2 linked regions of the Schizosaccharomyces pombe genome follow. The gene in region 1 interacts genetically with each later gene. Each region holds a gene or a part of one and is shown on either strand. Other genes may lie near its edges.

What was found.
Region 2: mutations in amt3 (region 1) and SPOM_SPBC15C4.06C together harm fitness less than expected from each alone (positive genetic interaction), as found in Schizosaccharomyces pombe (one large-scale study listed by BioGRID).

The regions. Positions count from the first base shown.
Region 1 is NC_003424.3:2,923,267-2,929,253, forward strand, and holds amt3 (plasma membrane ammonium transmembrane transporter Amt3), read right to left. Parts: upstream 3,181-5,987; coding exon 1,627-3,180; 3' UTR 1,426-1,626; downstream 1-1,425. Other genes in the region: SPOM_SPAC2E1P3.01 (dehydrogenase), read left to right, coding at 56-1,102; Tf2-3 (retrotransposable element/transposon Tf2-type), read right to left, coding at 3,938-5,987. UniProt on the Schizosaccharomyces pombe protein: Transporter for ammonium to use as a nitrogen source.
Region 2 is NC_003423.3:2,250,233-2,256,478, reverse strand, and holds SPOM_SPBC15C4.06C (ubiquitin-protein ligase E3), read left to right. Parts: upstream 1-2,768; 5' UTR 2,769-3,072; coding exon 3,073-4,743; 3' UTR 4,744-5,068; downstream 5,069-6,246. Other genes in the region: SAGA complex/transcription factor TFIID complex subunit Taf10, read right to left, coding at 630-1,277; dhx29 (ATP-dependent RNA/DNA helicase), read right to left, coding at 5,470-6,246.

The DNA of each region.
Region 1 (5,987 bases):
TTTATTTCTACTAAGTCTAAAAATTTAACGAATTTAAATTAAAATCGTATAAAACATGAAGGCAGTGATAGCAGATGGTCAAAACGGCGTAGAGGTTATATCAGATGCCCCTAAACCAACTCCTGAAAAGGGCGAGTTTTTAGGTCGAGTTATTCGTGTCGCGTTCAATCCTATCGATTGGAAAACACTCTACAATGCGTCGATTGAAAAAGGCACCGTTGGCGGAACCGACTTCGTGGCTGTTGTGGAAGATGTTGGAGAAGGCGTCGACAGATCGAAATATATCGGTGCCACTGTTAGTGGGTGGGCTCCTGGTCCTTTAGACGGTTCTAATGCTGCTTGGCGTGAATACATCACTCTTGATGTAAATTTGGTGTACTTTGTTCCCAAGAATATTACACCTTCACAAGCCGCTACGCTTCCTCTAACGTTTACTACTGCTTCGCAAGGACTTAATCAGTACCTTGGTCTTCCCTTGCCTCCCACGGATGGATCCAAGAATTCCGCTCAACAAAAATGGGTTTTAGTATGGAGCGGGTCATCTAGCGTAGGGCAATACGTGGTTCAACTTGCGCATCACGCTGGTTATAAGGTAATTGCTACTTGTTCGCCTCATAACTTTGACTGGATTAAGAAGCTAGGTGCCGATTTCACGGTTGATTACCATGATCCTAACGTGGTGGAGATTATTAAAAAAGCAACTGATGACTCTGTCTTTTATGGATTTGATGCCGCCAGCTTCCCTGAAACTAGTACATTAGCGGTTAAGGCATTTAGCTCAAAGGTAAAAGATGGTAAACTCATCAACATTTTATCTTCACCCCCTTCACCTAGGTCTGAAGTAAAAATCATTGGAATCATTGATTATTCACTTTTCAACCGGGAGTTCAACTTCTTTGGTAACAAGATAGAACCAATTCAAGCTAGCTATGATCATGCTGTTGAAGTATACAAGAAATTGACTGGCTGGCTCCAGGAAGGAGTAATCATCCCTAATCGTGTAAAAGAATTTGATGGTGGATTGCAAGCTATTCCTAAGGCTTTACGTGAGTTTGCCTCAGGGAAGCACAGTGCCGTAAAGTTTGTGGTTCGCATTGACTAAAACGGCACTTTTGTAAATTTTGAAATGACTTATGTTATAACTTGACCTTGGCAAGAGATAGAACAGGCACATACTCTTACATGTTTTATTTGTTGATTGACGTTACTTAAGGAACAAGCTTTTCGTGGTATTATTTTTTTTTATGCAACCTGCCTATACAAATAACACTTCGATAAGCAAAGATGAATTTTTTTTATAATGTTTTACGAATACTAATTGTTTTATCTCTACATCCTTTAGATATAAACAATGATTGTACTATATTCTGAAATGCTACACTGCTCAAATCAATGTATTTTGATAAATTCATCAATTTATACTTTAGACATAAAACTAGCTTGTAAAGCAATCCTGTACATGTTATAACCAACGTAATCTTTATTGTGAAAAATTGAAAATTTCAGCAAGATACTTGTCATAACCAAAAAAAATAAAAAAAAACCAAATTATTAAACAGAAATAATGAAGCTATAAATAAATATGATCAATTATGTATTCTCTTCTAAGTAACCTTATTATTGTTTTCAAAACTCATCCTGCTTTTCCTGTTTTATATTTGAACCCTGAGTTACAGGTTCGTCCATTTCCTGAGCGTATATAATCATAGGTTTTGACTCTAAAGTTTGGCCTGGAAGTTGCTCTTCTAACTCAACAAAATCCATTCCTCGTAACTCTTCTTCAAAAGATGCACGAATATGAAGGCCCGGTACTAGATCTACTAACAGACATATGATAGCTGTTATGACGAAAGACCATGCAGCAACAGAGGTAAAACCTGCAAATTGATAACCCATTTGTTTCCAGTGATGAACGGCCCAGCCCCCGTCTATAACTGTAGCGCCATCTGAGGCAGCGACATCGGGATGCGCTACTACACCGAGCACGATGGAGCCAACAATGCCGCCGATACCGTGTAAGTTAAAGACACGAAGCGTTTCATCAACGCCAATCCATTCATTGAGGTCATGAAGAAAGTTACATACCAATGCCGGTACGATACCCCCAGCAGCGGCTCCCCATGGAAATACAAATCCACAGGCTGGTGTGATACCCACTAACCCTGCAATGGCACCTTCGCAAATACCTATAGTGGAAAACTTTCTATAACGGATGTAATCAATAATCGCCCATGTCAAAGCACCAAATGACGAGGAAATGAGCGTGTTGGTCATGATATAAGCTGTACGAATATTAACAGTCAATAGAGTACCAGAATTGAAGCAGAGCCATGCAAACCAAATCAAAACAACGCCAATGTAAACCATACCAGCATCATGCGGAGGATTATGAGCTATCTTTCCTCTGCCGAAGGAATTCTTCCAGGAAACAGATTTGAACCCAAACCACCGCTTCCAATTAGCTTTGCAGTTGTTTTGGGAAGACGACGGTAAATCTGCATTATCGGTCGACCGAATTGAATCGGGTCTGTCTGGCTCGTCGACAACAATGCGACGACCTAAACATAAGGAATAAGCGAGCGCAGCAAAACCAGATGAAATATGTACGGGACCGCCGCCTGCAAAGTCAAGGGCACCCAATGTGTAGAGCCAGCCATTGGGTGCCCATGTCCAGTATGCCTGTGGACAATAAACCAGCGTAATGTATAAAAAAGATATTACGAGAGAGGGAATTAGCCTACCGCGCTCAGCCATTGCCCCGGCAAACAATTGAGCTGTCGCTACAGCAAAGAGACCACCAAATGGAAAGTAAACAATTGCTGGAATTGTGGACCCTGGTATATATGGTTCTAACCAAAGATGGTTCATCCCTCCTTGCCACAACGTTCCATAAAAAGAGGACCCCGATGAGCAAGCAAGAGAGTATCCAAACAGATACCATTGAATAAACACCACTGCTGTAACCAAAAACGACTGAGTCAATATTGAGAGAGCCGAATTCTTTCTAACCATCCCAGCATAATAAAGAGCTATACCGGGGGTTACGGTAAATACTACCACTGTACTCAAAAGTACGTACGCTATATCAGCATTTGAGTATTCGTTGGGAAACAGTTCTGTTACAGTCGCGATAGTGGAGTTTGCGTCGCGACGTAATAGCGCATTCGGCTCGTTAAGCATCTTTTCGTACACGACAAATAAATCGTAAATCAGTCGTAAATTATACCGTACGTCACAGTATCGTACGTAAACAGAGAGATAAATAGAGGATAAGTAAAGAAAGTCTGTGAATTTCTTAATTGATCTGTAAACTAATATGTAGAGAAGTTCTTATCTCTTTACCAAAAAATCACCTAAAGTTATCAATAGTAAAAGTAATTTTCACTCTTTCTCAATTGAATCCGATTCACAGATTTATTATTTAACGATATAGAACCACTTTCGGTAAACCAACGTTATTTGGCGCCTTAAAACGTCTTATTGTATTCTAAGAATGAGATGCTGTATATTTTAGTGTAGTATGCTATCTTAAAAAACATGTAAGCTACGCAGTTTGGTATCTGATTTAAGGATACGTAGAACTGCGGTGAGTTTTCCTTGTGATCTATTATATTACGATACACAGGTTGTATAAGTAGCAACTGAGTATAGGTATTGTATTAACTGGGTTATAATGTTACCTATCACTAATATAGCTCATAACTGAACTGAGGAACGAGGTTCAGCAGTAGCTCTATTTATAGTATTCAGATAATATTGATCTTAATAGATTATCATTAAGATCAATCTCCATATCGTATCATACATGGTACGATATATAATTAGAACATGTGACATATAGTGATACTCAACGTAGTGTATTATAGCGTAGTGTAGTATTGCTGACATTGCCCTCCCCAAGATTTTCTATGTAAATCTGAGGATAAGTCATATGTTCTCAGATATTTAGATTATTGTTTTTAATATAATCATTGACAATTGCTTTGTCCGCTTGTAGCGCTGTAGCTAATGTAGTCCATCCTGACATAATAGTACTCGGATTTAGATTCGAAATGTACTTGACATTTAAGTAGAGTACTTGTTCTCTGTTTTTATGTTCTAGGATATGAAGAATTGTTCCAATATCAGACTCATCAATGGTAGCGTAATTGAGTTCTGAATTATGTCGATACTTTTCTAGGTGAGAAACATGAAAAGTAGATGAAAACATGTGCTTGATTGAATCTGGAAGATCCAATTCATAGTTGTTTGGACCCGACTTCTGTAACACATAGAACGGTCCTGCAAAACTAGGTGCTAATTTATTGGATTTATGAAGAAAACCTGTTTTCGTTCTTTTGACCATAACTAGGTCTCCAGGTTGAAATTCTTCAATTTCTTGTATTTTCATATCGAAATACTTTTTCATCTTTATGTTGTTTGTATTCAAGTGTTCTTTAACTGTTTGAAATACTTGGATCGTTTCCTGAGAGTTTTCGTCAGTTTTGTCACTAAAGCTAGGTAACTCTAAAGGTGATAAAGCTGGTGAATAGCGATGTACTATCTCAAAAGGTGTCATTTGAGTTGCTGAATGTATCGCATTGTTGTAAGATTGTTGCACTAGGGATATATGATCTACCCATGTATTTGGATGTGTGCTACATACACATCTTAGTAATTTCTCCACAGTTTGGTTTGTACGCTCAGTTTGTCCATCAGTTTGTGGTCTGTATGGTAACGAAAATTTCATAACGAAATTATATTTATGTGCGAAATCTTTCCACGTTTGGGAAGTAAAAATATGATCATTATCTGCAATGATTTCTTTTGGATTGCCGAAATAAGCAATAACTCGTTGATCAAACATTCGAGCTGTTTGCTCTGCTGTAATGGATTTCGTACAAGGTACTAAGATTGCCATTTTTGAAAATCGGTCAACTACCACGAAAAGTGCATTATAACCAGATGATTCTGGTAAAGCTGTAATAAAATCCATTGATAAAGATTCCCAAGGTCTTTCTGATGGGGGAATTGGTTGTAAAGGTCCATAAGGTTTATGATTCCTAGATTTGTTTATTTGACATGTATGGCAGTTCTGTACATATTCTTGTATTTGTTTTCTTATTCCTTTCCACGTAAATCTACGTAATATAATGTTTGTAAGAAGTTCAATGCCTGGATGAATCAATTTACCTTCTTCATGATACTTTTTAATAATTGTCCTAGTCAGCTGAGTATCATTAGGTAATAAGATTTGGTCTTTACTGTTAATTAGTAAGCCATCTTTGAGTTGGATATTCTCTTCCACTCGTTTGTCTTCATTGTTTAGTAAATTCAACAATTTTGTATCATTCGTATATTCTGTAACCACTTGGTTTTTAAAATCATCGGTTATCGAGATTTGATTAACAAAGTTGATACTATTGTCTTCTGAATCTTTTGGAATTGGTTCTGTTTCGTCAACAATTCTGGATAAGGCATCAGCTATGTGATTTGCTGATCCAGGTCTGTAGTTAATTTCAAAGTTGAAGTCTTGTAAAAATAATTGCCAACGAGCTAAACGTTTGTTTTCAGGCTCGGATTCGTTAGTAATGCGACCAATTAAGTTTCGATGGTCTGTTAAAATTTTGAAAGGTTCGATAGTGGATTCTAAATAGTGTCTCCAATGTTTGAGAGACTTAATGATTGCAAGCATTTCTTTGTCCGATACGCTATAATTTAATTGTGCTTTAGACATCTTTGCTGAATAGTATCCAACAGGATAGTATTTATCATCATCATGTTTTTGAGACAATACGGCTCCTACAGCGACATCTGAAGCATCAGTTTCCAGTAGAATCTTTTTACTGAAATCAAAGTGTCGTAGCACCGGAGGAGAAACTAAACATTGTTTAATGTTTTCTATCGCTTGGGTTTGTGTTGGTGTCCATTTCCAGCGTACATCCTTTTTCAAAAGATTATTGAGTGGATGTGTTAATTGTGATGTCTTTGGAATGAATTTCCTAAGA
Region 2 (6,246 bases), on another chromosome or scaffold:
GGAACTGATAATCTTCCTTTGCCAGATGAAGGCAGTGATTTTTCTTGAGAAGTCTGTATTTGTTTAAGGTTTCAAGCATTACATTATTTGAAAGAGTACTGGTAACTGTAATTATATTAATTTTTACTTTATATACAATGCATATTATAATTAGAAGCATGTTAGGTTCTGACATACTATGAGGCAGCTGTCGACCGCGTAATTGACACTTTCAGAAGTGCTTTTCAAAATGCAGATAGTAGCATAACGAAGAAAACATTTACTACATCAATGTTGAATGAGAGTATCAGTGTAAAACAAATTCAGCAAGTGATAGCGAGAAAATAGTAACTATGATACATATGATAAATTTTATAAAATATAAAGATAAATAATCCCTCATATGAAAACTACTGCTGAAATGGATCGATATGAGAAAATGTTTTGAAATTATGATCATCAACAATGCCACGCCAAACCGAATGTGCTATCTTCAAAATACATAATAATTTCAAAAAAGTGTAAAAGGTTAGAATTAACAACAATTAGTAAACAAAAATTTTATAGGAAAATGAGATTTCAGAAACAAAGTTCCACTAATGCATTAAGTAAGGGTCTCACACAAGTGGCCTTAGTGGGATAAAAAGTCTTTAACGGAAGAAATCGGGCCTTTTCAAATTAATTCCATATTCATTAAGAGCGGCACTTAAGTCATCTACAGTGAGCACGGTTTTTCCACGGTCACCTCTTCTTCCGCTAGATCCAATCCCGGAAGCGCCTCCGGCTCCAAAATTCTGCGCACCAAACGTAGTTGAAGATGCATTGCTACTACCGGTTCGGATTTTAGAATATTGATAGGCGTCTTGAGCAACATCAGAAATAAATTTTTGAGCTGTAAGACCAAGAAGCTTTTTTAAGCGTGGGTCAACACATTTAAATCCAGATAAACTGAGGTAATAATCCAATAACACATCTGGAATTAAGGGAGAGTAATCATCCATTTGGGCCAAGAAATTTTCAAGTGTTTTGTCTTTGGCCATATCTCGCAATTCTAAATGCGGTTCTATAACATAATTCGAGCCATGCCTTTCTCTAGAATCATCGCTTTTGGGAGAATCCTCGTTATTTAAATGTGCAGGGGATTCTACACTCATTGGGGCGAGATTGTCACCAGTTGGCAGATTTGTGGAAGACGTTTCGGGTTGTTCATCAACACTCATCGAATTATTTCCATCTTCTGGTTCTTGCTTGGGCTGTTCAATATTTTCAGCTGGCTCATTATTGTTAATGTCACTCATTCTTTCTTTATTTGACCGATGTTGTAAAGCAAAGAATGTCTTTCTGCAACTTGATTCAAATCCGTGGTTCCTTGATTTATCGTTCGACTTATTGGAAATAATAGGAAATTTATTTCCCTAGCTTATGGACTTAACTTTTAATACTTTAATCCAGTGTTTCAAGAAACCACTAGGCCAACTAAAATAGGGATGGTGGAGGTGGACTATATTCTGTATTCGTGGTAAAGTAGCATTGTTATTTACGTATATAAGGGCTAAGATCGAAAAGTAAATAATTCCAATTCTTGGAATAATGCTAGTTGAATAATAGAAATTAATATATAAGATTAATTAACTTCTGGTAAAAAGTGTTGTTTAAAATCGGTATTATATAGAGTTCGGAGCGAAGTTGGTATCTACTACAATTTTTGCTTCTATAAGCAAATGTTCAGTTTAGAGTTGAATGGCAGCCTTCTTGGACTTGAACATATGTATTCAAAAGTAATTATTATTCTCAAACTACAATGTTATTCATTTGCTGAGATGAGCATTTTAAAGTTTGCGCAAACATGACTTCCAGTTAATATGTGTTTAAAACAAATAAAAAAATTTACTACGCAAAGAAAGGATATTTGAGATTAATTTGGTGCACATTTTTTATTTCTCATAACAAACTACATAATCCATTTCCCCATACTTTACCAATAATGTATTGCTAAGCCAGATCAAAGCTACATTAGATATCACTACTAATTATTGTTATTTTCATTTCAAAACTGTCGGATCCATACTACTGATCTTTAATGATCAGGACGAGTAAAACATCTTTAGGAAAATACAATTATTGAAGAAATATCTCAACCGAACAAACTACCCTTTCCTAGTTCAGTTGTAAGTTAATACAGTAAAATATAAAATTATATAGTATATTATATCTTAGCCTTCTTAAACAAATATGTAACCGCTGTACTAAACGAACTCCATAAAATTATACTAAATTACGAGGTAGCATATCACAATAATTATATCCTTATACTAGTTTACAAAGTATACTCAAACAACATTAAATCCTATAACGTATTCCTAGTAAATTGCTTCTTATGTTTAAGGAGGATATCTTATTGTTTAATTGATCGCTAAGCGATCCTTTTTTTATTTATTTATTATAGTTCTCTCTGATCATTAATTCTCCAGCTATGCTTACCTTTTTGAAGTATCACTTCTTCGTTTTTTTATTTCTTATAATTACCATTTATTATTATTTAGTTTCTCACACCTGTTTAAAGCGCTTGTCGAATCACCAAACACAAATAAGCTGTTTTATTTCACGATTGTTTTTCTCGCCCTGCACTTTATGCTTTGTTTGTTTCATAGTTTTTCCTTCATTAAAAAACTTCTTCACTGAAGTATACTGCTCATAGTGAAAATATAATAACAATTGCTTTCCACATGTATATCACATGTATTGTGTACTATGTACGCAATATGTCTCAAGATGTTCATTACTTAGCCACCACCAATTTGTGGTTTTCAAGCTTGAGCTAGTATAAGTTAAAAGAATCACACTTTTTACTTTCTAATTTTTTGAAATTTCCTTTAAAAAATTTCATTAATTGTGTTCCACAATTCCTGCTTTAGAGATATCACCACTCAACGTCTGTTTATTGATTGAAAGCTTACCTTTCAATTACCATTAAATTTGATTCATTATTTAGAAAGATTGGTATCAAAGCAGGTTTGTTTTTTGGTAATCTTGAAACCTCCTGTTTCCTAGTTCTTTGTGTTTCTTCGTGCCTTAAAGTTTGTTTAGGTTCTTATGCATCTGTGTAATAACCAGTTGCTTGATCATCTGGATTGCAATGCAGTTTACAGAGGCTATGTTTCACAAGAGAATAAGGTAAAGAGGAGAAAGCGGCTGTTTAATGCAATTCGTAAACTATGGAATGAAAGAAGGCGATATCGAATGCCAAAGGACGAAAGTATCTCGCCAACTCCAATCTCTTATTCATTTAGATCATTAAGAAGAGGCCATACTAGTGGGCATGCTAGTGAACACACTTCTTCTTCAAGATCTAGTCATGATGAATCAGATTCTATGTCCAGTTCTAGTGAATCAGACTCGGATTCTGTTTCCAGTGAATCAAATCCCAAATCTTATTCAGATTCTAGTACTAGTTCTGCAAGGTCGTCCTCTACTTCTGGTTCAATCTCCTTGTATGATGATTATTACCCTGCTTATTCCAGCAATGCTCCAAATACTGCAATATCTAATTATGTTAGCTCTGGTCTTTCATATTACGGAAATTCATCTATTATTATGAATGCTGTCGAATACAATCAGTTCTTTCCGCTAACCATAACTACTCTTATTGTTAAAAACAACAAGAATGTTGTTTCAAATCTTCCAAAAAATGTCTCATTTTACTTCCACTCTGACAACACGGTCCTTTTGAATGAGTATTACAAAAGCTTGTCTAAACTGAAGAATAATTTTCGTGGAATTATATATAAAACTACTCCTTATGGTAGCTGCAATGACACCGAGTCACTTCAAGTTGATACCAAGGGAAGCGTATGGTTTAGAGATGTTTCTAATATGGGAAGTTCTGGCTTAATCGCATTCGCGCCGTTTGACTATTGTGCTCCAATGCATGTATTGCAGGCTGTCCAGGATAGAGCAAAGGCAATACTATTTTATAATGCAAGCACTGCTAGTAATTCATTAACCAATTTTGACCACTTTGAAGATGCTGTAGATATGATTACCTTTGAAACATTACCAATGGCACTCATATCTTACGAAAACGGCATCGCTTTTGAAAAGATTCTCAACGAATACTCGGCTTCTTCTTTAAATTCGGTGCAGGATGGTGGAGCATTAGTCGAATATTTTGGAAACATTGATGCTACGGCCCGTTTGGGCGTTATCATCAGCAAGGAACCAAAGCTACTTGGCCTCTATATATTCATTGGTGTGTTATTGGGTTTAATCGGTGTCATAGGCCTTTTTATTTGCCTTCACTTTTCTGGTGCAATGAATGGATTTTATAGACTCTTAAATCGTCATGGAATTCCTGTTCAAGAAAGAATTGTGAATATTGGACCAAACAAACCAGAAAATCGTGTTACTAAAGAAATGCTCGATACTTTGCCCGTTAGAATGTTTTCGGGGCCTCATCTTGCCAATCCTAATGATGAGTTGGTTTATGAAAAGGATTGGAAATTAGACAAATCAGAAAGTTTTGATGGACAGGGAAATGTGGTTACTACAGCCGAAAGAGGGAGTAAGTATTTCGATCAGAGGGAGTGTACTATTTGCTTGTGTGAGTATTCAGAAGAAAGTCCTCTTTATCGAGAACTGCCATGCCATCACATCTTTCATCCGGCTTGCATTGATCCTTATTTATTAAAAAATTCGGATCTTTGTCCCCTATGTAAACAGTCAGTTACAAACATGTTGGAAAATGCTTCCGAGGACAATGTTTAAACTGCATATTTATGAATTTTCTCCATTGGTTGAGTAATTCCTGTACTTCTACTCATAAGGATAATTTTTTTTATAATCTATATTAGCATATTTTGTTCGACTCTCATTCATTTACGTTATAATATTTTGCTTGTCTTTATACGCATACGCATACTCATACTTATTGTTCAGTTCTTCCTACGACGAAGAAAACTTACGCTTCCTTAAGTTCATAATTTTCTTGCATCTTTTAATGGGCTAATTATCTATTTCTCATCGTTCTAATCTATTATTTGTGTTATCGTATGAATTCTATAGTACTATATAAAAGCTTACTATACATGTCATTGTTTACTATAAAAAGTTTAATACACATGTTGCTTGCTAGTTTATGATGAAGGTACAAAAAAACTATTAAGTATTTTACAAATTAGCCGGTCTAATGCTAAATTGCATATGTAAATATTTTTTTCTTTTCATTTAGAGACCTATTTTGATATTCTAAGAAAACGATATACAGTTATAATAATTGACATTTTTGGATTTGAGAAAATTAAATACTCTGAATTGTGTCTCATAAAATAGAAAAGCCATCAGTTTCTGCAATGAAGCCTTAGATAACTCCATTTTACACATTTATGCTCAACCAACATAATTCTTACATTTTCCAAATGGAAAGAAAATTTGCCTGTCATTAAGCAGATATGTGAAAACCAACTTTCTGATATTTCATTTTTGATACTTTCATTAATCTTTGAGACGTTTCTGAAATTTGGTTCCGTAATTTAACCGTGAAACTATGTTAACAATAACCTCAAGATGGGAATTCAATAAGCGTTTATCAGGTTCAGCAAAAAATTCGTTTAGAGAAGTTTCAATAAAGCGACGTAAAATACTTAAAGATGCCGAAACGTAAACATTTTCAAAATATACTGTAAAGTTGTCAAGCTTTGCTTGTCCAACTGATACTCTATTTTCGACTTTAAGGCCGCACATCATTAGAAGCTGGCGAAGAGTAACCATAGTAGTTTCATTAACATACTCACTAGCTCGAGTGGAAGACATCATGTTCGTGTAAGCAACGAATTTGGACGGCATGTTAGGTAACTCAGACCTATTATTCACCGATACATCTAAAATTCTAACACGCTTGTTGGTACTCAAGGTTGACCACTGTCTTTTTTCGTAATCATACCTTAAAATGTTTGGATACAGAGATGCAGCAATTACGCCACACAGAATTTCTGCATTTCCTGAGTTAATATCATGCTCTTTGGGGATAACGGCAAAACGCCGGCATATTGAACGTTTTAGGCTTTTGCAAGTATCAACATCCGAAGCGCCTAAAAGTTTCATATCCTTCAACTCAGAAAGCAGTTGGATTTTTAGTGATTCTGTCATACTTAAAGCCTCTAAATTTAAGTACTTTTCTTTGGCAAAAGAATCTTCATCAGGGCCTAAAGGTGAAAGGCAAATCTCTCGCCAAGCGCAGTAAGCATAATACATCAAAACTAAATCACTCCT